3 linked regions of the Arabidopsis thaliana genome follow. The protein of the gene in region 1 interacts with the protein of each later gene in a pairwise test. Each region holds a gene or a part of one and is shown on either strand. Other genes may lie near its edges.

Region 1 (10,402 bases):
TCAGTGAAACTCACTCCTGAAGAGATGTCTGAGCTTGAGACCATTGCCCAACCAGAGTCTGTGAAAGGAGAAAGATACATGGCCACAGTGCCAACCTTCAAAAACTCCGACACTCCACCATTGTCTTCTTGGAATGCTGTGTAAAACTGTCTGAGAGTTTCTCTGGCCAAAGGATGATTTATGTATAGAATATGTTATTTTCTTCTACCCATCTTATATATACGGTGACCATTCTCTGTATAGTCTTAGTGACCTATCGCCATCAGCATGAGTTAAGCGTCCCAGCTGACTTAGGTTTAGAGTTTAGGCACCTAATGGCTAATGCCAATGATGAGTCCTCCCATCATATTTGAACATTTTACCATTAGTTAGAGCCAATGATCTGGAACCTGCCTACAAGCTTCCAATGAGACAAACTATAGGTGACACAAATTGTAGATAGAAACATGAAGACCAAACACTACCTAATAAGACAAACCTTGCCTACTCAAGAAGATCGACATTACTCATTGACTCAAGACCATGAAAGAAAACAAATATCGATTACGTGAAGACTACTGAACACAAATTGATGACACATCTTTGAAGAAATATCACTTAAACACGTACGTAGTTTTTTGTTTTTGGTTAAATCTCATGTAAGAAAGATATTTTGTAAAAGCACTTTTGTAAAAGACATAGGCAATTTGAGAGTTTTTTTAATCACACCACTCATCAACCCAACTTCAACAACTACTCCACTCAGTTCTAAACTCTACAAAAGAGAGAAAGAGAGAAAGCGAGTTGTGACATAAAATCCATGGCTGAAGCTTGCAGAGTTAGGAGGATGAAGCTAGGAAGCCAAGGCCTTGAGGTATCTGCGCAAGGCCTTGGCTGCATGGCCCTCTCCGCTCGATACGGTGCTCCCAAGCCGGAAACTGACGCCATCGCTCTCCTCCACCATGCTATTAACTCCGGTGTTACTTTCTTTGACACCTCTGACATGTATGGTCCTGAAACCAACGAGTTGCTCCTCGGAAAGGTTCGAGTTTATCTTGTTTTGTTCGAAAGAGTGATCAAGATACTTTAGTTTGTTCTGTTTCTTGATTCTATGGTACTAACTTAGACCACAACAAGATTTTGTATGAGAAAGTTTGTTGCAATTCATTTTCTTGTCAGGCTCTGAAAGATGGGGTGAAGGAGAAAGTGGAGCTTGCGACCAAATTTGGATTCTTTATAGTAGAGGGGGAAATTTCTGAGGTAAGAGGAGATCCTGAGTATGTAAGGGCAGCGTGTGAGGCTAGTTTAAAGAGGCTAGATATTGCCTGCATTGATCTTTATTATCAGCATCGAATCGATACTCGTGTCCCTATCGAAATCACTGTAAGCCTCCTCCACAATCCTGCTTCATGTCATGGTTTCAATGTTTCCAAGTTGGCTCTGAAAATGATTCTTTGTCTCTGAATTCCAAGATGAGAGAACTGAAGAAGCTAGTTGAAGAGGGTAAGATAAAGTATATTGGTCTGTCAGAAGCTTCAGCTTCAACTATCAGAAGAGCACATGCTGTTCACCCGATAACTGCGGTGCAAATAGAATGGTCCTTATGGTCGAGAGACGCGGAAGAAGATATCATTCCTATCTGCAGGTGTGAAGAATCAAAATCAGATATAACTTTCCTCTTTGTTTACATGTTTGGTTAACATTTCGTTTATGCTTCACCAGGGAACTTGGGATTGGAATCGTAGCTTATAGCCCTCTAGGAAGAGGCTTCTTAGCAGCAGGACCCAAACTTGCTGAGAATCTGGAAAACGATGACTTCAGAAAGGCAACTACTGTTATTTGCATTAAAACACATGATTAATATACTGTACTAATTTGTGTTTCTTTATTGCAGACTCTACCAAGATTCCAACAAGAAAACGTAGACCACAACAAGATTCTCTTTGAGAAAGTTTCTGCAATGGCTGAGAAGAAAGGGTGCACTCCAGCACAACTAGCCTTAGCATGGGTTCATCACCAGGGAGATGATGTTTGCCCCATTCCAGGAACCACTAAGATTGAAAACCTCAACCAGAACATTAGAGCTTTGTCAGTAAAACTCACTCCTGAAGAAATATCTGAGCTCGACTCCCTTGCCAAACCAGAGTCTGTGAAAGGAGAAAGATACATGGCCTCAATGTCCACCTTCAAGAACTCCAACACTCCACCGTTGTCTTCCTGGAAAGCCACTTAAAACCGCATGAGAGTTTCTCTAGCTAAACCTACTAAAATTAATATGCTAAGGGCTTGTGTAAGCCCACAAAAATAATATGTAAGAGTTTGTGTTGATGTTCAGAGTGTTCAATGTATAATTTTCTATGCATTTCATATACTGCGACCAACCTCTAAATCTAAAACATCACCTTTTCAACCATTTAGAAAAATTTAATACATGGAAAAAGAGGAGCCATACCATATGGTAGCTGATTTGAAGATAAGATTTGAAGAATGAAAATGCCTCTGAAAACCAAACCTTACAAAGATGTGTTCTTGATACAAACTTTAAAGTAACTCTCATTTAAAACCTTACAGAAACAGCTAATCTATACAACCAACTTTTAACATGGATCTGTGCAACGAATTCATATCTTGGATTGACCGCCAAAGCATTTTGGCAACGGAAAAATAATCAGTTATGGAGACGTGAAAGGATTTGTAAAAGGGGTTTTTGGCTAGCCTGCGGTTCATTGTTAATATTAGCCGACAGCACAAAGGGTTCCACAAGATCCCATCTTCTTCAATCCTGTGTTTTGCAAGAGGTTTAGCAGTTGACAAAACCATCATCTTTCATGTGGGTCACGGTGAACAGCTGCCATTTACCAGAGGTTTCTTGTGCTAGTTCCTTTAGCATTGGTCAAAATCCAGTTTCCTCCCCCATCAGTTTCTTGGCTCCTGCTTCAGATAGATGCTCGAGGGAATGGTATAAGATCTCGGCTGAGAGACAGACAGATAAAAAATTATATTTTACCATCAAACATTGTGTTTCCATCATTCACCAGATTTAAAGCAATGTTCTTGTACAAGATCATAGTTCCCTAAAATACTAGAAGCCGATTTTTAGGGGTTATGGAAGTCCTATGATTTGAAGCGATTAGACATTTTTTCATGAAACAGAGGCAAATTTGGTAAGGGAAGCATTTGAGGTTTTTAATCCCTTACATATTCAGGAATATCCACGTTCAGAGAAAATGCAAGATTGCTTACCTGTGTGGCACTTGTCACTAAACTGCTTGCAAGATCATTGTTAATTGAGACAGGCAGAGGCGGCATCCGGCTGATGATCCCAGGCATCTCCTTCATGCTGCAGTAATAATAAGTAAAGAGTATAGTAAATCAAGCTTTCATAGACGAGAAGGTGAAGGACAACAGAGGAAATGTATCATTAGTGATTCAACCATGCTATTAGATCCACATACTCATTCAAGATGGCACTGATGTTATTTCTTGCCATATAAAACAGACTGACGTTATCCTGTGGCTGTATGCAGAAAATAGGATGTCAGGATGGGAATTCCATTACGAAAGGACAACAGCATGTATCCCAACCAAACAATAAGTTGCATTGAATAAAACATTGTGCATGTGAAAAATACATTCTACGATCTTTTTAAAGTCAATTTTCTGCTAATGCAATCTTTTTCTACCAGCTAGCATTTGGATCAGATACAAATCAATTACCTTGCACACAGAAAGGTTTGAGGAGATTTGACTGAAAGCTTGAGCATTCTGCCGTAGACGCTCCATAACCGCATCACTTAGACCTAGGAGAATAAAAGTTTGGAAAATATATATGAGACCGTAAAAATGTGACAGGTGAGAAAAAGGTATCAAGCTAACAAGATTGAGTTTTCTTGGCACAACTAAGGAGATGAGACAATAACTGAGAGAGTCCAGGAACTCTCCAACATCGATAATGCCTATATTCAGGCATGAACAAGATGAACAACAAATTGCCTAGTACATTTGATTGAGATTTCAAACAAGATGCAGTTTGTCTTTCTAAAATAATCTTTCTTTACAGTTACAACCTTTGCAGGAGAGGGAAGGAAATAATACCGACAATACTGTTACGGTGTTACCCAAATAGTACTAACCTTCAAAAGGCATGCGTGCACTCTGGCACATATGGTTCATGGCATATGTAGCATTTTGTTGTGGCTCAGTTGAGAACATGTTCAGTTTTGGGGGTAAATCCACTACCTAAATCAAGGAGAAATCAGTTACTTGTGTGTTGGGTATCTCAAGGAGAACAAATTTGTAGCTGTTTTGAACAAAAAACCATTTGTAGCCAATAACCTCTTGTAAAGCGAACTATAACCTAGGCCACCAACCGTTATCTGGTTATTTACTAACATTACATACCTTTCTATAACTAACCTTCGTGCCAGTACTATGTTCTTCCCCTTTTCTTCGCTTTTGCTGAAAAAAAGGATTTCAATCTTAGCCCAGACAAACTCAAAAGTCATGAATTTAAATAGTTGAAAGATATTAGATAGCAAACTGGCAGTTATTATTAATGTTAAAAAGGCCCCGTGTCAAGACTTATGTTTGTATGAGTCATATATCTGCTTGTACAACTCAAGTCATAAAAAATCTATCTATTTCTTCAGCCCAACTTCATAAAAAAAATATGACAGGATAGATAGTATGGATAAGCCAATAAGGTAATATTTGGCACTATAATCTGTCAACTTTTTTCCCCCATTTATTATATGAATCTTAACACTACAGTGTAGGCCATACTGCAGAGGATATAACCAATGTTTAACCATCGCTCATAGAAATCTTATCCTTCATAAAAAGTAACATATCAAAATAAACTTCAGAAAGTCGAAAAAAGCCCAAGGCTATCTGACATCACTCGTTTGGCGATATTAGTTTCAGGGTAACTACAGAAATCAAATCAAGCTTTAGGGTCAAATCAAGTTCCAACATGACTCCAGAGCTAACAGAAAGCCAGATCTATCGTCAGCAATACTTGTTATTACTCTCCTTGCACACTCTTAACCATACTTTAAACAACCTTTATGATATGGTAAGGTGTCTTTTCATCAATATAGCAATAGAACTTTAAGCCTACCTTATAGCCAAAAAAATATAAAAGAACTTTTCCCATAGGACTTTATCTTTAACAAAGCATACACCCAAAGTAGCGTCACTATGTTTTTCCTCCTTTTTTCATCTCCCAAGCTAAATGACGTTACCAAGATCTCTTTGAATAACAACTAATAAGAAGTCTGCAAGCCACTTATGAAACTTAATGACAATGCATTGGGAACTTACCGTCATCCATTTACATCTCATTGCTACATCCCGTACACTTTTATCTGGTAGAGTTGCTGCGATCTTTACATACTTTGTAACTTGTGGTTCATCTTTAAATCTACAAAAGACATGACAAAGGTTTTAGGCAAACAAAACAATAAAAGACAAACTCGAAACAACATAAAACAGCGCAAGGTAAGAAACTAACACAGAGAAAAACTCAGCCATCTTTCGTAGAAATTTTCTGATACAAAATACATCTATAAGAATCTGAATCAGCTTATGATTCCAGATAACAACACGAGCTATAACAGTTCATATGAAACATAAATGCAAAACCTTTTCCTTCATCTACATATAAAAATTTATCTACTCTAACATTGTATAATAGCTACGAAGTGAGAAAATTTGCAGAGAACGAAGAACAATGGAGAATAACAAAAATACTTACTTTGAAAGACCTTTCTCCAATATATATTGTTCCTCAACAGACCAATCAACAGCCAAAGAAGCTTCATGTTTGAGTCCAGTAACCGAAGTCGGAGAATTTACAGTAAGATGAAATCCAGAAGAAGCATTCATGCTCGAAGTCGCCGAAAACACTAAACCGGTCGTGCTAGTACTCGGTACGCAATAATTATCCATCGGAATCATCACTCAAAAGCTATTTCGTAGAGATTAAGTTGACCTACAACGAAGCACGCCCAAAAACATGTTCAATTTAGGGTTTTAGCAATTTCAGAATCATACGGAAAAAAATCCGATTAAAACCCAACAGAAACCTAAAAGAGCAAAACCTGAGCAAAACCCACCTCGGATTTAGCCAAAATAGAAGATGAGTATGCTTCTCCGTAGCTCGATAGATGGCGTCGATGCAAAAACCCTAAACCCCCAACGATTGGTGATGAAAGTAGAGATACTGAAATCGTGAAGCTACAAAATTCAGAGAGATCGCAATAGAGAAGAAGAAGATTGAAGAATCGTGATTCGATTCGCGAGAGAGTGGTGACAGCAAGATGATGCGAAGAACTTTCGAATTGCAGAAGCTGGCGAGGAGAGAGAGAGAGAAAATGGTGGTTTTGTTTTGTAATGGTTTTTATTCTATTAAGAAACAGAACCACTTTTTATTCCATTGTGGTGGTTTTGCTTTTTTGTTTTTGTCTAGTCCACTCTTTGAAGAAAGATGGTTTGTTCCTCCTTATTTTTTTAAACTTTTACTCAATTTTTGTGAATTACACAGTCACCTACACTTTGGAAATTCAGATATTTAAATTACAACAAGGTATTATAAATCATAAAGTTTGGTATCCATTTCACTAAGTGACATTTGTTTTTTTTGTTTTTTTTTACATGTCTTATGTGAGTTATGAATAATTAAATTTGTTTCAAACTTTTACATGTGTAATTTTATGATAAATCTTTTATTTACTTATATACCTAAATAATCAAGTTGAATTTGTGCATAGACAAAAATGAGACATCAAATTAGTTAATCGATAATAGTAGGATTCGCCGGGGAGAAGGAGAAAAAAAATTAGATGCATGGGTCTCAGGTTCGAGTAATAACCAAAATAACTACAACTTCATTTTTGCATAGACGTGGAGATGCTTTTTGGTTAGAAACCTCGACAACCACTAACGAAGATGAGGACAATGAAAACGTTGTGTTTTGACTTTTATGCCCCTCTAAACCCTAAATTCAATAATTTGGGTCGTCACTCGTCAGCAAGCTGGATCTAATCCACCACTCTCTCCAATTGTCATTCACTCCGGTTTTGCTATTTCCAAGGAGAGAAAGATGATAGCTGTGATCGGATTGCTTCTGGGTTTTCTAGTATCAGCATTGTTCTTAATCCAAGGAAAGCGAAGAAGAACAAACGACAATCAAGAGAAGAAGAGATCTAGCAGTGAGCCTGTAGAAGATGTGGTAAGACCAAAAAGTTACAGCAAGAGTGAAGTCGCAGTACATAACAAAAGGAACGATTGTTGGATCATAATCAAAGATAAAGTCTATGATATTACTTCTTATGTTGAAGAACATCCTGGTGGTGACGCTATTCTTGATCATGCTGGTGATGATTCTACTGATGGCTTCTTCGGACCTCAACACGCCACTCGTGTTTTCGACATGATTGAAGATTTCTACATCGGGGAACTTCATTAGTAAAAGCTTAAAGATTTGAGATTTGATTGAAGATTTGAGATTTCTTCTTAAGTAAGCTTAAAGATGGCTTTTTTAATTCTCTTCTCATTGAAGATTTGAGATTGCATTACCTTTTTGTCTTGCTAGTGTAACACTTCTTCTTCCATTGTATTGCCAAAGTTTCCTCCTTTCTCTTAATTTTCATGGTGAAGCTATGCTCTGTTTCAAGTGTTCTATGCTTAACTCTGTCTCAAGTGTTTTAAATCCATCAATTTTGAGTTTAATCTATTGAATTGCTTTATGGGAATCAATAGGATCATAAGAACATAACTTTTTTACTGCGATGAAGAATCATAATATTCGACAAAAAAGCATAACAGAGATCTCGAGTTCGAGTTCTATCTCTGATATAGACCTAAATCCCAAAGCATAAGCATTGACATCTGGTTAACCAAAACAAACTACCAACGTTCATATGATGAAGGTCTGCCTCCAGGACGGCTAGGACGGTCATAAGGACCTGGTCTGCTTCTGTAGGGTCTTCCCTCATCGCGTATCGGTCCCATATCTCCATATCTGTCACTTGTATCCCTTGCGTATCTGTCCCTGTCATAGCTTCTCTCTCTCCCGCGATATTCATTCTCAAGATGATGTTCAGGCATCCCATACCTATCACTCACAAAACGGTCTCCTGGTGGTGCGTATCTACATTGTTAATACATCAAAAGGTCATGACTTTCCTAAAAGAACACATGTTGGAACATTTATTTAGACCTGAGGACAAGAGCTACAAACCTCTCAAATGGATAGTGATCACGAGGCTCATACTTGTCTCCACTGTCGAAGCGGTCCCTGTAGCTATATCGTCCCCCATCTCGGTCACGGCGTCCATCCATGTAGCGGTCAAACTCACGCTCCCGCTCCCGCTCCCTCTCCAGATCACGATCTCCATAGCGATCTCGGTGTCCATCTATGTCTCCAATACGAGAGCGCATCGCAAGGGGAACTCTGAACCGTTCTCGATCGTCACCAGTTGATGGGCAATCTCGAGCCCAATGACCAGGGCGTCTGCATTTAAAGCACTCATCCTCGGTTCCCTTCCCTCGAGATGAATAGCCTCCACCTTTCTTTAATTGGTCTACATCTTCTCCACCAACTTTGGGCTCAGCTTTGTTCACGGAGATGACCTTATTGCCCAACTCCCTTCCATGCATGTGCTTAATTGCATCATCAGCTCCTCTGCGATCAGTGAATGTAATAAACCCAAAACCACGTGGACGCCCAGTATCTCTCCCCACCATAATCTACAAGTACGCAAAGAAGACCAATAATGTTATTAAAATGCATATTGAGCCAGGAACAAGATATATTACTAAGAACCAGATGTTACATTAGAGTTAAGAAATAAGCAGATGTATTACATTCCTATCTCTCATATAGCATGTCCTAGAAGTGGCAAACTCAGAACATTTACAAGCAAACAGAAGACGGTAGCAAGATTCACAAATTTACTTCATTTCAAGTCCTTAGAATCACACAACACAAAGTCAAACTACAGCTGCATACTTGTAGAAATACTAATCCACAAGAAGTATCACCACAACAATAATCCTAGCAAAACGATGTTGGAGATTAGCCTCTAGCCAACCATACTTTTAACCCTTACAACAGACCTGTTACCTCAAATCAGTTTCCCACAACAAATCCACAGGAATGCGTTTTCCATGCTAATTCCACTAAAAAAGAAGACTAATATTCTGATCAAGACCTAAAAAAGAAGACTAATATTCTGATCAAGACCATTTTTGACCAGAAACTTATCATCTTGGTGTATTGATAGACTACTTAGAGATGCTTACATGTGCCAATAACTGTACTTTTACAATTACAACAACTAGTGGCTCATGATGAATGAGTACAAGAAAACCATCTCAGTGACTACTAAAGCAGATACCACAGGCAAGAGAATAAAAGATGGTTAGTCCTGATTGGTGTCAAAACCACTGAAAAGAGAGCTCAGCTGCAATTTAATCATAATATCCAACAAAACACAGTGACGTCAAACCAAAATTACTGCACTGATGCTGAGACAAGAGCCATGATCTATCTCAAAACTCTTGCATTTCTAAACATACGGCTCTCAAACAGATTTTCAGATCAAGAGGAGGTTGAGATGCATGTTTACTTCCTAAGAAAGCTCTACTAATTCCTCGACTGCATCCTTCAACAAGTCAATAAACCTCAATATCTGTGTGTGCTCTTCTACAGAATAGATGAGTCTTAGGTTCATCAAACAAAACTATCCTACAATCTCAGAGGTATCATTCACTAAACACAGGTTTCAAAACGAGTCTCTGAGACTTCTGATCATAAAGTACGAGAATCGATACAAGACCTGACACTCAGTGATTTTCCCGTAGCGGTCAAAGGTACTCTCAAGCTGTCTCTCTGTGACATCCCACGATAACCCTCCCACGAAGATTCTGCTCTCAAGATTTCCATCGTTTTCTCTATCTTTCATTGTGAAACTCTCACTGAAACCAAAAACGCATAAACATAGTTAGCCCACAAAATCAAACTCGAAAAATCAAAGCGAAACTCCAACTCTTACTTAAACAACTCAAAAAAATTCTATTGAAACAAAGATTCGGGTCAATAAACTTGCTGAAATCCGAAGTAAGAAAAAGAAACCCTAGAAATTTCGATATGATAAACCCTAATTACTCACCGCTAATCCAAAGGTCAGACCTTTCTGCGGTTTTGGCGATTGGTGATGGACAATGAAATAACTGCAGAGGATTAACTTCAACTCAATAAGTATATTTATTGGGATAAAATGTTGTCCACTCAATGACTAAAACACCCTTATAAAAGTTACTTAATTTACAAAAATAACCTAAAAACCCTAAAACCCTTCTCTTTAGCAAAGCTTTCCCCTTTTCAGTCTCCAAGCTCTCTTCTGCGGAACTCACGGTA
Region 2 (5,506 bases), on another chromosome or scaffold:
CAAACTTAAATAAAGTTACTGATTTTTTTTGTGGGTTTGGCTTGAAACTCCGTTGGACTGAAATTAATAAAAAAAATGATCCTTGAGGAAAGAAATATATCTTAGTTTCAATGTTATAGTGCTGTGTTTGTGAAACGATTAACCTTCTGTGAATTATTTTTTTGATAAAATTATAGATTTACTTGTCCCTCAAGAAGAATGTACATACAATTGTTGTCATAAATTTTTCCCCCTTAAAACATACTATTTTTAACTTGTCCCTCAAGAATAATTCTTCTTTAGTCTAAAGGTGTGTTATTGAATCATAGATATTTGTTCATTCTTTTTGCCCAAAAAGAAAAGGATATTTGTTCATTCTCTAAATTTAAAATCTACAATTGAATAAAGAAACAAATTAACAAAAAGACAATTACCAATCTCTGTTAATTAAGTTTTAACATAAATCGATGCAATAGCTTTCTAAGCAAACAAAAAAAAAAAAAAAAAAAAAAAGATAAAGACGATTCAAAAATTACACTTTACGAAGGATCAAACATAAGAGAAATATGACTCCATGGGAGTCTATCATTTATGATCCTCACTCGGAAGACGGACTATGGCATGACTCTTCCTCCCTTAAGAATTTACCACATTATGTGGATGTAAAGTTAAGTATACGTTTACATAGTTGATTATATCCATATGTTGTTAACTTAAACATTGACAAGTACTAAATTTTTACATATAGAGTCATCTATGTTTCCTAATGTAATTAACTTTACATCCACATGATTGTTATATTCCCAAATAGTTAACTACTTATACACATAGTTACTTCACTTCCTCTGTTTTCCTAATTTTCATTTTCAACCACAACTTAGATCTTATTGTAATGAGTTATCTTGTTTAGTAACAGCCAGACACAACTCAGGAGTATCAAAAACAATCAGAAGTGGTGTAAAACAGAACCAAAATAAACAATCTTTTTAGAGAACAAGCTATTATGAGCTAGTTGAACAACAACATACTTATTCCAGAAAACAGTTTTATGTATTGGATTGCTACAAATGTTAGACAAAAATCAACAAAAGCAGTGGCAGTTTACTGATAAAATCACTCTTAAAAAAAAGAACAAAAACAACAGTTCTATGGTAACAATGTCAGATGAGAAGAAGATTAAGATCAATTCTTAAAAGAAAATGATTAAGATCTTTTTCCTTATATATTCTCTCATCAACCAATAAAAACCCCTGAGCATGGAGATTCTCCATTTCCTAAGTTCTTTATTCAAAGATTCCGAGAAACAAGAAAATAAAAAGAACTCTACTGTTATAGGCTGCTACTATGGCTGATTTTGGACCAGGCTTGTGTCTGTGGATACTTTTTTCCCTCAAATGGGACTAGCTCTTATGGATTCCTGGTGATAATATGCCATTTCCTTCTTTTGCGTAAAGTTTGTCCGAATCCAATTTTGTAAAGGGATCATTCTTTTGTTGATAATAATATCTCACCACTATCCTCGAAAATCCTTCGAAAACATTTTGAGCTACAGAAACTTCCATTATAGAGTGATTACTTCAGGTTCGGGTTCTTTTCCAAGTTGCAAAAGGAGAGCAACCACTAGGAGAGGAATCAGAATACTTAGTTTTTGTTTCTTGCTAGATTTGGGGATAAGGGTTCCAAATATCAACAGTAATTTTGTAACAAATTAAAATGCTTACTCTTTTACCTTCCTTTTCATACAGATTCCTTGTAAGCTACTCCGGGTAAATTCTCAGCAATGATCACTCAAGACCTGGAGATATCAGAATAAAACCCTCAAGCGTTTACTGATGCAACTATTCATAGTGAGAAAGTAAAAATAACCATCTTGCTCAACAACAAAATAATCGACCTTATGAACTCAAGATTATCGTTTTCACAGCTAAAGAATTTACCTAAACTTATGACTTAAATGTGGGGAAAGTGTTCCTTTTTTACCATTTCAATACCTAGGCAAAGAAGGTCGCTGTGAAGCATCGTGACGATGAGAATATCAGTAGTGCCCCAATGCCTACTAGCAGAATTTCTTGGCAACTTGCAATCTATTATCTCTCTGGAATATATTGTGCCCCAAGGCCTCATTATTGTTAAGATTCTTTCTCTGTTTAAAGTTTTCCTTCTCGATAAGAAGTTTCGCCGCCCCTACCCTGAAACCAAACCATGACATCTTAGAAACAGAACCATCCATTATCATAACTAGAATAAAAATATCTTAATAATATAAGTGCTTATATTGGCATATATCCAGAAAGAGAGCAAATTAAAGTATCATAAGACCTATACACGTAAAGGAATATCATCTTACTTAGCAAAACTAATAACATTTAGTGAAATGGATAAACACTATTATCAAGAAAGATCCGAGAAGTATGGTTCTTAAATAGCTTTACTTTAAAAAGTGTGTAGACAATAACTTTATATAGTCTTGTGGTCTTTTGATAACAAACCTGATTCAATAGTGATAAGATATGAGTATGGTCCTCCATCTCCCATGGGACTTTGAATCACCTGTGTTTCCGAGAGAGGGAAAATCTTGAGACTTTAAATCAAAATGTCAACTTTATTATGAACTAAAAATCAAACAACAAGTGGATCATTAATGAACAACCTTTGTTGCATGAAAAGAAAATCTTCAAATCTTTTAAAGAATGAAACAAAATGCTCACTTTCTGAGATAAAACCAAACAACAAGTGGACCATTTATGCATGTTGTCTTTTTGCCAAGTATGTATATTATTAGTCCTATTGTGCATTATTTAGCAACCTAATTTAGTTATATGACAATAATCTATTTGCCCATCCCAACCCTGGATTCTTACCAAACAAGGTAATTAAAGTGTTCATGTGAAACATTAATGTTTGTATTTTGTAATACGACAACTTTTGGTTCCCGCCCATATTCAATAATGCAGACACTAAAGAACAGAAGAAACAATTTGAATATCCACCAAGAAAAGTGATTATTTAACAAATTAACAACCAAGAATCTACATTAGACAATATATGACCAAGAAAAACACAGTTGCCTAACTTCAAGGAGATGGACCCAACAAGCCAAGGAAAAAAAAAGGTAGGTAAACAATGTTGACGTTTATTTTTTTCAACAACAAGAAAACACAGAAAAATGTCGATGATTGTACGGAAAGATCATCAATACAGCTAGATAAATTGATATGGTTTTCATGGCAGAGAATCTCAAGGTAAAGCTCTGCCCCCACTTTTCTTTAAGAATTCTTCTTATACAAGAGAATATATGACTTATGGTGAACACACGAAAAGCTCCAACTTTGTGTTTGTGGATACAAATTAATCCTCACAATGTTTCAAAATCACTGAGATTTTTGATAAGAAGGAAATCTGATTAGTCAATGAAAATCATCTGTCAATAGAGACTTGTCCCTAACTTTCAACCAAAGACTTGTAATTTTCCGCGAGCACGTGAGCTTTGTGCTCTGATTAGAGACCAGACTGTTCCATGAATTAAGTACCATAGGTAGAGAGATTTTCCTAACTATTTATTACCTAAACTGTTTCTTTTTGACAAGAAGCTTAATCTAGAGAATGACGTCATAACCACTAATTGGGAAAGAAAAGTAAACATATTAGTTATAACATTTATAGAAAAGTGTGTCTAGGGAGCATCATATGCCAAATATGGATGGAAAAACGCAATCTTTGGTTGATTAGTTTGGATCTTTGATACTGATCTCCACAAAAAAATTTGCTCATATTCTTTTCTAGCTATAGAGACAAAGACTTAAAATTCTCTTTGTTTTGGCAAAGATATCTTTTAACAACTGGCCCTACCCCACACCAAAACCTCTTTATAAAGAGCAAGGACTCTGCGACATCTGTGCAACATATCATTTCCTCAGAATCTCTTTCTTTTCTAGGTTTATTACTACACAAAACCAAACATCATCAACTTTAGTTACTAAACAATGGCATCAGGCTCAATGTCTTCTTATGGCTCTGGCTCATGGACTGTTAAGCAGAACAAAGCCTTTGAGCGTGCTCTAGCAGTCTATGACCAAGACACTCCGGACCGTTGGCACAATGTTGCTAGAGCTGTTGGTGGTAAAACACCAGAAGAAGCTAAGAGACAGTATGACCTTCTAGTTCGTGACATCGAAAGCATCGAGAATGGTCACGTGCCATTCCCTGACTACAAGACTACTACAGGAAACAGCAACAGAGGCAGGCTGCGTGATGAGGAAAAGAGGTATATTTGTTGCAATCTAATAAGACACAATTTATGCTAATAACAAGTAATCAACTTTGTTTATCCATAATAGCCCACTATAAGATACTTCTATAGACAAGTTCTATTCCAATACCATGACAAGAAAACATAAAGGGCATGTCTGTTTCAGCATAAAGCTTGTTACTTTACAGAGATTCTCTTGACTTTCTATCATATTGAGTTATAAGAGGCTCTAAATCAGCCAAGTGTTCTCTTCTCAGTGTTCTTCAGGCTTTATCAGAACCAAAACTAAAAGCTCCCACAACAAAAAATATGCCTAGAAATAGAATCATTCCTTGTCAATATGGTATCTAATATTAATCGATTCCCAAATCTTTCCCCTAAGAAACTTCCAGAAACAAAAATAAACCCACTCATCATCATGAAACTCGAACCAACAACATTTTAACCTGTTTAACATTTTTTTTTTTTATTGCAGGATGAGAAGCATGAAGCTGCAGTGAGACAAGAAGCAACAAAACCTAACTACGTATGATCGTCAAAATAAAAGAGAATCACTTCAGAGAGATGTGTTTTTTTCAATGTCTGACGAATCAATGTTTTTTTCTTGCAATTTCTCATGTTTTTCCCTAAGAAATGGTTTTTTTTTCGAGGCAACAAAAAAAAAATAACACTCGAATTTGTTAACCAAAATCTGTATTTAGGGTTCTTCGTAATGAAAAATCCAATGTCTAAATGTTAATTATATATTACAATTATGCTTAAAACGAGTAATTCGTTCACGGACCTTGAAATCAACGAATCAATCTCTCAACCAATCTGAATCAATGTTGCTTCAAAATGGAAAAATCCAAATTCATAAATCAATTAAATATTGATCTTAACTATATATTGGAGCATCCAATAATGCAAAGTATGCGAATCGGACAAGAAGAAGTCTCGAAATCAACGAATCAATTAACCAATCTCTATTTTTAGGGTTCTTCGAAATTGGGGAATTGTTTCAATATTTAAACTCAAGTGTTGATAATTGGTGAATCACTGTTTATGGAGAATCTAACAATGTCACGGGACGAGAAGAACTCACCTCGAAAAATCTGCAATTTCTGATCGCAATCTTCAAATTCCAGCGAAATCGATGAGAGTTTCAATTTGGGAATTTCATAGATAAACCCCAAATTTCAATTTTTTTTATTTTCTGGGTAGATAATTAAAATTGGGCGGGAAATCTGATGCTTCCAAAAATAGGTCACGTGCAATTAACTAATTATACACACATAT
Region 3 (5,857 bases), on another chromosome or scaffold:
AAAGCTTACTAAACCCAAGATGCTTTATCTCTTTGGTCCAATTACAGTTACATTTATATATACTAATTATGCTAACGCTTTTATTGATTCATATACAAATCATAAACTAGTTTGGTAGTATATAGTATGTATTCACATCTAGCTAAGCTTGTAAACTATTTTTGTTGACCATAAACCACTAAAATTGGTATTTTATTAAATATCATTAGACTGCTGAGTTGTAACAGAGTGGCATTTCCTATGGTTATCTTATTTTGTTTTGTTTTTTAAAAAATAGGAAAAAAATGAATTACGGTTTTTATTGAAGAATATTCTTTTTTTTTTACTACTTATCATTAATTGTTAATAACACTCTTTATTGTTTAAATTTATAGATTTGTACTCAATTATTTATATTTAAAAAAAATATCTCAACACTATAACACCATATAAACATTCTAATAAGATATGTTTTTAAACAACATTATTAGTATATTTCAAAATGGTCAAAATATTTCGAACCTGAGAAATGAACTTTTTAATCATAAATATGTCATTGGAGAATCATTCCCACATTTTTCCTTGAAATGAGGGTCTAAAATTGATGTTATTATAGACAAAATTTTGTAATTGCGTTCCTTGTAATTGATAGGGAATTAGTACTAATTAATGAAATTAATACCATAATTGTGTCTATGACTATGATCGGTTGTTTGAAACGTAACGACTCTCTGCTTCAAAAGCTCTTCCTTACTTAGTTCCCGAGGTTATGAAACCGTCACGGACGTTAAAAAGAAAAAACTAAACAAACGGCGTTAACTTCCGTATATCATAAGACACGGTAACGACGTTACCTCTAACGGCTATGTGTGGTTTAAGATTCACACGTGTGGCAAAGAAGGTGACACGTGGGATGTTGTTTTGTTTTCAATGGATAAGCACACAGGTTTAAAGCGAAGCGTGACCAGAATTTGAGGAAATGAGTTTTTGTAATTAGTTGGTTCTTTTCGACAATCTTCTCATTTTTTATAGTTGGCAACTTGGCATTACTAGGAAAATATTATCGCATATTTGCAGCTAATTAAGGTCTTCTTCAACTGATTTTGTCTCTGCATTTAAATGTTTTAAAACGAGGACACGAATAGTTTGGTACTTAGAGGAATAAATAACCGCAAATCTTGTGTTGGTACAGTTTGTAACTTAGTAATTTGTTTTAGTGTTAGTGCCGTGTTATTTGATAGTATGTGTGAGTGGTAATATGCATGAGTGAGTTCTTGAAAAAAAAGATGAGTGATCTGTTCTCTGTGATAAGGGCAACGCAACATGTTTGCAGGTTGTATCATGATCCTGATGAGTATTCTCCATAGAGAAATCGGCATTAGACTCGACGCTTTAAGATGAAGAAGAAGCAATGGATTGACTGATTTTATTTTCATGGGTCGAACTCGGAGCCTTTGATGCTGTTCACTGAAATCCAAAATCCAAAATCACCAACACCACCAACTAACCGCATGTGTATATGTAATCCAAAATCAACACTATTTTTACCACACCAAAACTCACTATAAGGTTAATTCGAATAGAACTCATCTAACCATCTATGAAACTTGATTAAAAAGTGTTGTAGAATGATTTGTGTATGTTTATGTAAAAGTTCTATCGCTCCCAATCATACCCGTAACTGGATACACGTTGCAATTGATCTTTTTATTTTTTGGTTGGCCGCGCACTGCATTGAATTAACACTACCTTATCCAAACAAATAGTATTAAATATCTACTTCAATCGAACACTCTTAAGCCTCTCTTTGTTCACAATAATGATAATTAGATTAGTGTCAGCAACGTTGACACATATTCGTATCTACAACACACATACGCATACATTTATATATAAATTAATTTCGACAAGAATAAATTATGACTTGTATGGTCACCAATAAGTCTCACATTTTTGGGTACACAAAAGAGTAATAATGAAATAAATAAAAAAGATAATGTGGAGTGGTTTATACAGTGAGTGGGATGGTCAAATCTGAATTTTAGATAAGATGCAAAATTCAGGTTGCCTCAATCCGACCACGTCTCACACGCCCTGTGCCAGACCTGCCCATCTCTGTTTTCCCTATAGTATTTTTTTCTAATTGAAAAATACAAAAATTCCATTCTCCATATATTTGAAGTTATATAAAATCCGTGGCAAAATATGTGATTTGACTTTTGAGTGCCAATCCGATATGTGAGCCGTTTTGTAAACACAATTTTTGGTTTCAGTAAAAGCAAGATATTAGGATCTGATTTCATATATAAATTTTTGAAGATACCTTATTATATCACCCAAAAAAAAAGCTGTGTATTCAAGAAAGTGTAGTATTTTAAAAATAAATATGTAAAATGTTCATGAGTGAGACTCCCTACTAGTTTAAGATTGTCAAATTCACCTAGTTAAAGTTGGATCACTTATTTATCCATAAATAGATAACTTAAGAGATTGTCAAATTCTATTTAAAGAGTCTATCTAAAAGGCCCATTCTCTTTTTTACATAAACCAAAACCGCTCATTAACTATTTTGATCAGTCCAGTCCAATAGTTTGTGTTTTCCTTGTTTTTGGGCTACTAGCCCATACACATTTCCAAAAAAAAAAAAAAAACTTTTTTTTCCCCCTATTTTACTACATTTTTGTTAATTTAATGTTTGATTCAAAATTTACCTCACCAATTTATCCCCTCTTCTAATTTCCTTTCTATGTATTTTTTTCAATTCAGAAATTTCATACCTTCTTTTTATCATCCAATAATCGCCCCATATTTTTCATACTCACAGTTATTTTTTTTGATTTTTCTGTATTTATTTTCCCATATTTTTGAAGATAATATCAAAACTTGAAACATATGGTAGCAGATAAAAAGCTTAAAATAGCAAGAGCTTAGTAGATTTTATTTGGAAATTGGAAAGCCAGGTGACGATTAAACAAGAGGCCACGTCATGTAGATGCACCAGTCCGATGCCAAAAAGTATCCTCGCAAAACAATTGGCAGAAGACACGTGGCTCAATACTGGTGAAGAGTCGGTCTTGGCGTCTTGGTCGACTTCGTAACGTATCCACTTCATATTTGCAATCCAATTAATTTAGTAAAAAGTGTGTAAACCATTTTTAAAAACAAGTAAAGTAAACTACGTGTGAAGAAAGAAACAAGTACGGCTAAAAAAATACTAAAAAAATTAGTTGAAGTTGCTTTGTTTTCTTTTGTTGAAGGTCGTTGAGAACATAGTTTAATAAATACAATGAAACTCTTCCGATAAGATAAGACAAATTTCGGTGTTATCTTTCTCTACAGGAGTATTTAATAAAAAGTATAAATCGAACTATTTTATAACACGTTCGAAATCAAATATACTCATGTTTTCCACTTCCCACGTTTACGCTGACAATCTAACATTATGTGTTTCAACAAGTAATAATGTAACACTCACCAAGGCATGAACTGATGGAAGTGCTATGAATAGAATATGATTGATTGTAGTGTGTGTTTGGAGCTTTTACTGGTCAATACACTTAAAACAGTTGAGGATTGGATTTTTTGACTAACATTAATGACCCAACTGTCAAAAATTAGTCAAACTTTGCGGTACATAATTTAATTAACACGTCAAATGTTGGACCATCACTATAAAAAAAAATATTTGTTCATCATGAGAATCGTCCTTGGCCCAAAAAAAAATCCGAAAACATAACAAGAATTATAAGGTTAGTAAAATGAAAAAATCATAAACAGATGGAAAATCACAGATAACCATAATTACGAAAGTGAAGTTGAGAGAGGATTGGACAAAAATAGTGACAAGGAAGACGTAGACAGTGCAGTGCTGTGATTGATTCGAGAATGTGAAACCTAAATAAAACAAGTCTTTCTAGATTGCTTTTTCGTATTTTTAGGCGGTTGGTTTTTTTTTTTTTTTTTAAATAGCTACGTGTTCCCATTTTATTGGAAAAACAAAGTGGCATTTCCTTTTAAATAAAAATTTTTAAAGATAAAAAGGGAGAAACTGTAACAAACTGGTAGCAAAAAATCAGTAAGTCAGGTCAGGTGTTAACCCTAAAATTAAAATTGAAAATAAAACTGAGAGAAAGAGAGAGACAAAAGACATCCCAATTGCAGAGAAACCGTGTTGAAGTTGGTCTCTGAGCTGCTTCTTCCTTCCCTTTTTTATTTTTATTTTTCCAGCTCTTTATTTTCTTATTTACAAAAAACTTTCCCAAGAATAAAAACCAGAAGAATCCGTATAAATTATCCTAACAGTTTCTTCCAATATCCAACAAATTTCAGATTTTTGTTTTTGTTTTCTTCTTCTCTACTTGAGTAATCATCAACGATTATGGCGTCAAGTCAGTGGACGAGGTCGGAGGATAAGATGTTTGAGCAAGCTTTGGTTCTTTTTCCTGAAGGATCTCCTAATCGGTGGGAGAGAATCGCTGATCAGCTTCATAAATCTGCTGGTGAAGTTAGGGAGCATTACGAGGTCTTGGTTCATGATGTTTTCGAGATTGATTCTGGTCGAGTTGATGTCCCTGATTACATGGATGACTCGGCGGCTGCGGCGGCGGGTTGGGATTCCGCTGGTCAGATCTCTTTTGGGTCTAAACATGGCGAGAGTGAACGCAAAAGAGGAACTCCTTGGACAGAGAACGAACACAAGTATGTTTCTTTATCAATCATTTCAAAAAAATTAGGGTTTTGGTTGGTTTGAGAATTTAGGAATTAAATGCAATTTTGCTAAATTTAGGTGATTTAATTACATTGTTTGATATGAATTTTATTGATGCAGATTGTTTCTGATCGGATTAAAGAGATATGGTAAGGGAGATTGGAGGAGTATCTCGAGAAACGTTGTGGTGACGAGGACACCGACGCAAGTCGCGAGTCACGCTCAGAAGTATTTTCTGAGACAGAACTCGGTGAAGAAGGAGAGGAAAAGGTCGAGCATCCATGATATAACTACGGTTGATGCTACTTTGGCTATGCCTGGGTCTAACATGGACTGGACTGGCCAACACGGGAGTCCTGTTCAGGCGCCGCAGCAGCAACAGATTATGTCTGAGTTCGGTCAGCAATTGAATCCTGGTCATTTCGAGGATTTTGGGTTTCGGATGTGATGAAGAAAGGGGGAGACAAATTGGGATGGCTTTAGTTTAATAGGGTTTTACTCATTTTATGTGAATAGGGAAAGAAATAGGATTGGGTATTTTCTTATACAGATGATGATGATGATGATCAAAGAATAAAAATAATGTATAGGGAAGCTTTTTGTAAACACAAATATGTTTGGTAACCATTTTGGTATTTTGAATCAATGCATATGGTTGTTTTTCTCGATTATTTTAAACTTGATTTCTTACAACACACAAACACACACATCAGAAGGTTAAAGATCTCTGTACAAGTACAAGATCTCTCATACCAAGAGAGAACATAGGTCAAAGGCATTATTGTTTTTCACTACTGCTTGCCTTATGACCGGATTCTGTATACTGTGAGTGATAAACTCATGGCTTGTTTGTCTCAGGTTTCTGCACAAGAGAGTGAAAAGCAAACAGTCAACGAGCAAGTTCATTTCTTTGCTATGTTAAGTTAGATCATCATTTGCTGTGACATTAAAGCCAAATTCAGGTTCAGAAATGCGCTTCTTCTGACCACAGGGCATTTCGTACGTAAAACTGAACACTTGAATGAAAAGAGACCAATGGAAGTTGATGGTATGATGAAAGTTTACCTTGTTGGCACTTCCTTTCTCACCATCTAGCTTATCTTGCTCGAGTTTCTTCTTCTTCTCCAGTCTCTCCCTCTCCATTTTCTACAACAAAAAGATCGGTTTCTT

Evidence for each region. Proteins that work in one complex are often made in the same cells at the same time.
Region 2: the proteins of AT1G60670 (region 1) and MEE3 interact in a two-hybrid assay, tested with the Arabidopsis thaliana proteins (one large-scale study listed by BioGRID).
Region 3: the proteins of AT1G60670 (region 1) and AT5G04760 interact in a two-hybrid assay, tested with the Arabidopsis thaliana proteins (one large-scale study listed by BioGRID).

What each region holds. Positions count from the first base shown.
Region 1 is NC_003070.9:22,339,634-22,350,035, reverse strand, and holds AT1G60670 (hypothetical protein (DUF3755)), read right to left. Parts: upstream 6,452-10,402; 5' UTR 6,096-6,451; intron 5,972-6,095; 5' UTR 5,938-5,971; coding exon 5,735-5,937; intron 5,402-5,734; coding exon 5,302-5,401; intron 4,438-5,301; coding exon 4,381-4,437; intron 4,219-4,380; coding exon 4,113-4,218; intron 3,780-4,112; coding exon 3,697-3,779; intron 3,497-3,696; coding exon 3,435-3,496; coding exon of another isoform or gene 3,401-3,434; intron 3,320-3,400; coding exon 3,223-3,319; coding exon of another isoform or gene 3,166-3,222; exon of another isoform or gene 2,990-3,165; intron 2,953-2,989; coding exon 2,896-2,952; 3' UTR 2,412-2,895; downstream 1-2,411. Other genes in the region: AT1G60690 (NAD(P)-linked oxidoreductase superfamily protein), read left to right, coding at 1-144; AT1G60680 (NAD(P)-linked oxidoreductase superfamily protein), read left to right, coding at 800-1,021, 1,159-1,362, 1,452-1,624, 1,702-1,804, 1,874-2,212; CB5LP (cytochrome B5-like protein), read left to right, coding at 7,082-7,447; AtRZ-1b (RNA-binding (RRM/RBD/RNP motifs) family protein with retrovirus zinc finger-like domain-containing protein), read right to left, coding at 7,888-8,131, 8,222-8,730, 9,822-9,947.
Region 2 is NC_003071.7:9,255,692-9,261,197, forward strand, and holds MEE3 (Homeodomain-like superfamily protein), read left to right. Parts: upstream 1-3,819; 5' UTR 3,820-3,962; coding exon 3,963-4,243; intron 4,244-4,703; coding exon 4,704-4,728; 3' UTR 4,729-5,006; downstream 5,007-5,506. UniProt on the Arabidopsis thaliana protein: Probable transcription factor. Required for female gametophyte development.
Region 3 is NC_003076.8:1,373,030-1,378,886, reverse strand, and holds AT5G04760 (Duplicated homeodomain-like superfamily protein), read left to right. Parts: upstream 1-4,099; 5' UTR 4,100-4,357; coding exon 4,358-4,677; exon of another isoform or gene 4,678-4,807; coding exon 4,808-5,135; 3' UTR 5,136-5,357; downstream 5,358-5,857. Other genes in the region: AT5G04750 (F1F0-ATPase inhibitor protein), read right to left, coding at 5,526-5,549, 5,753-5,833.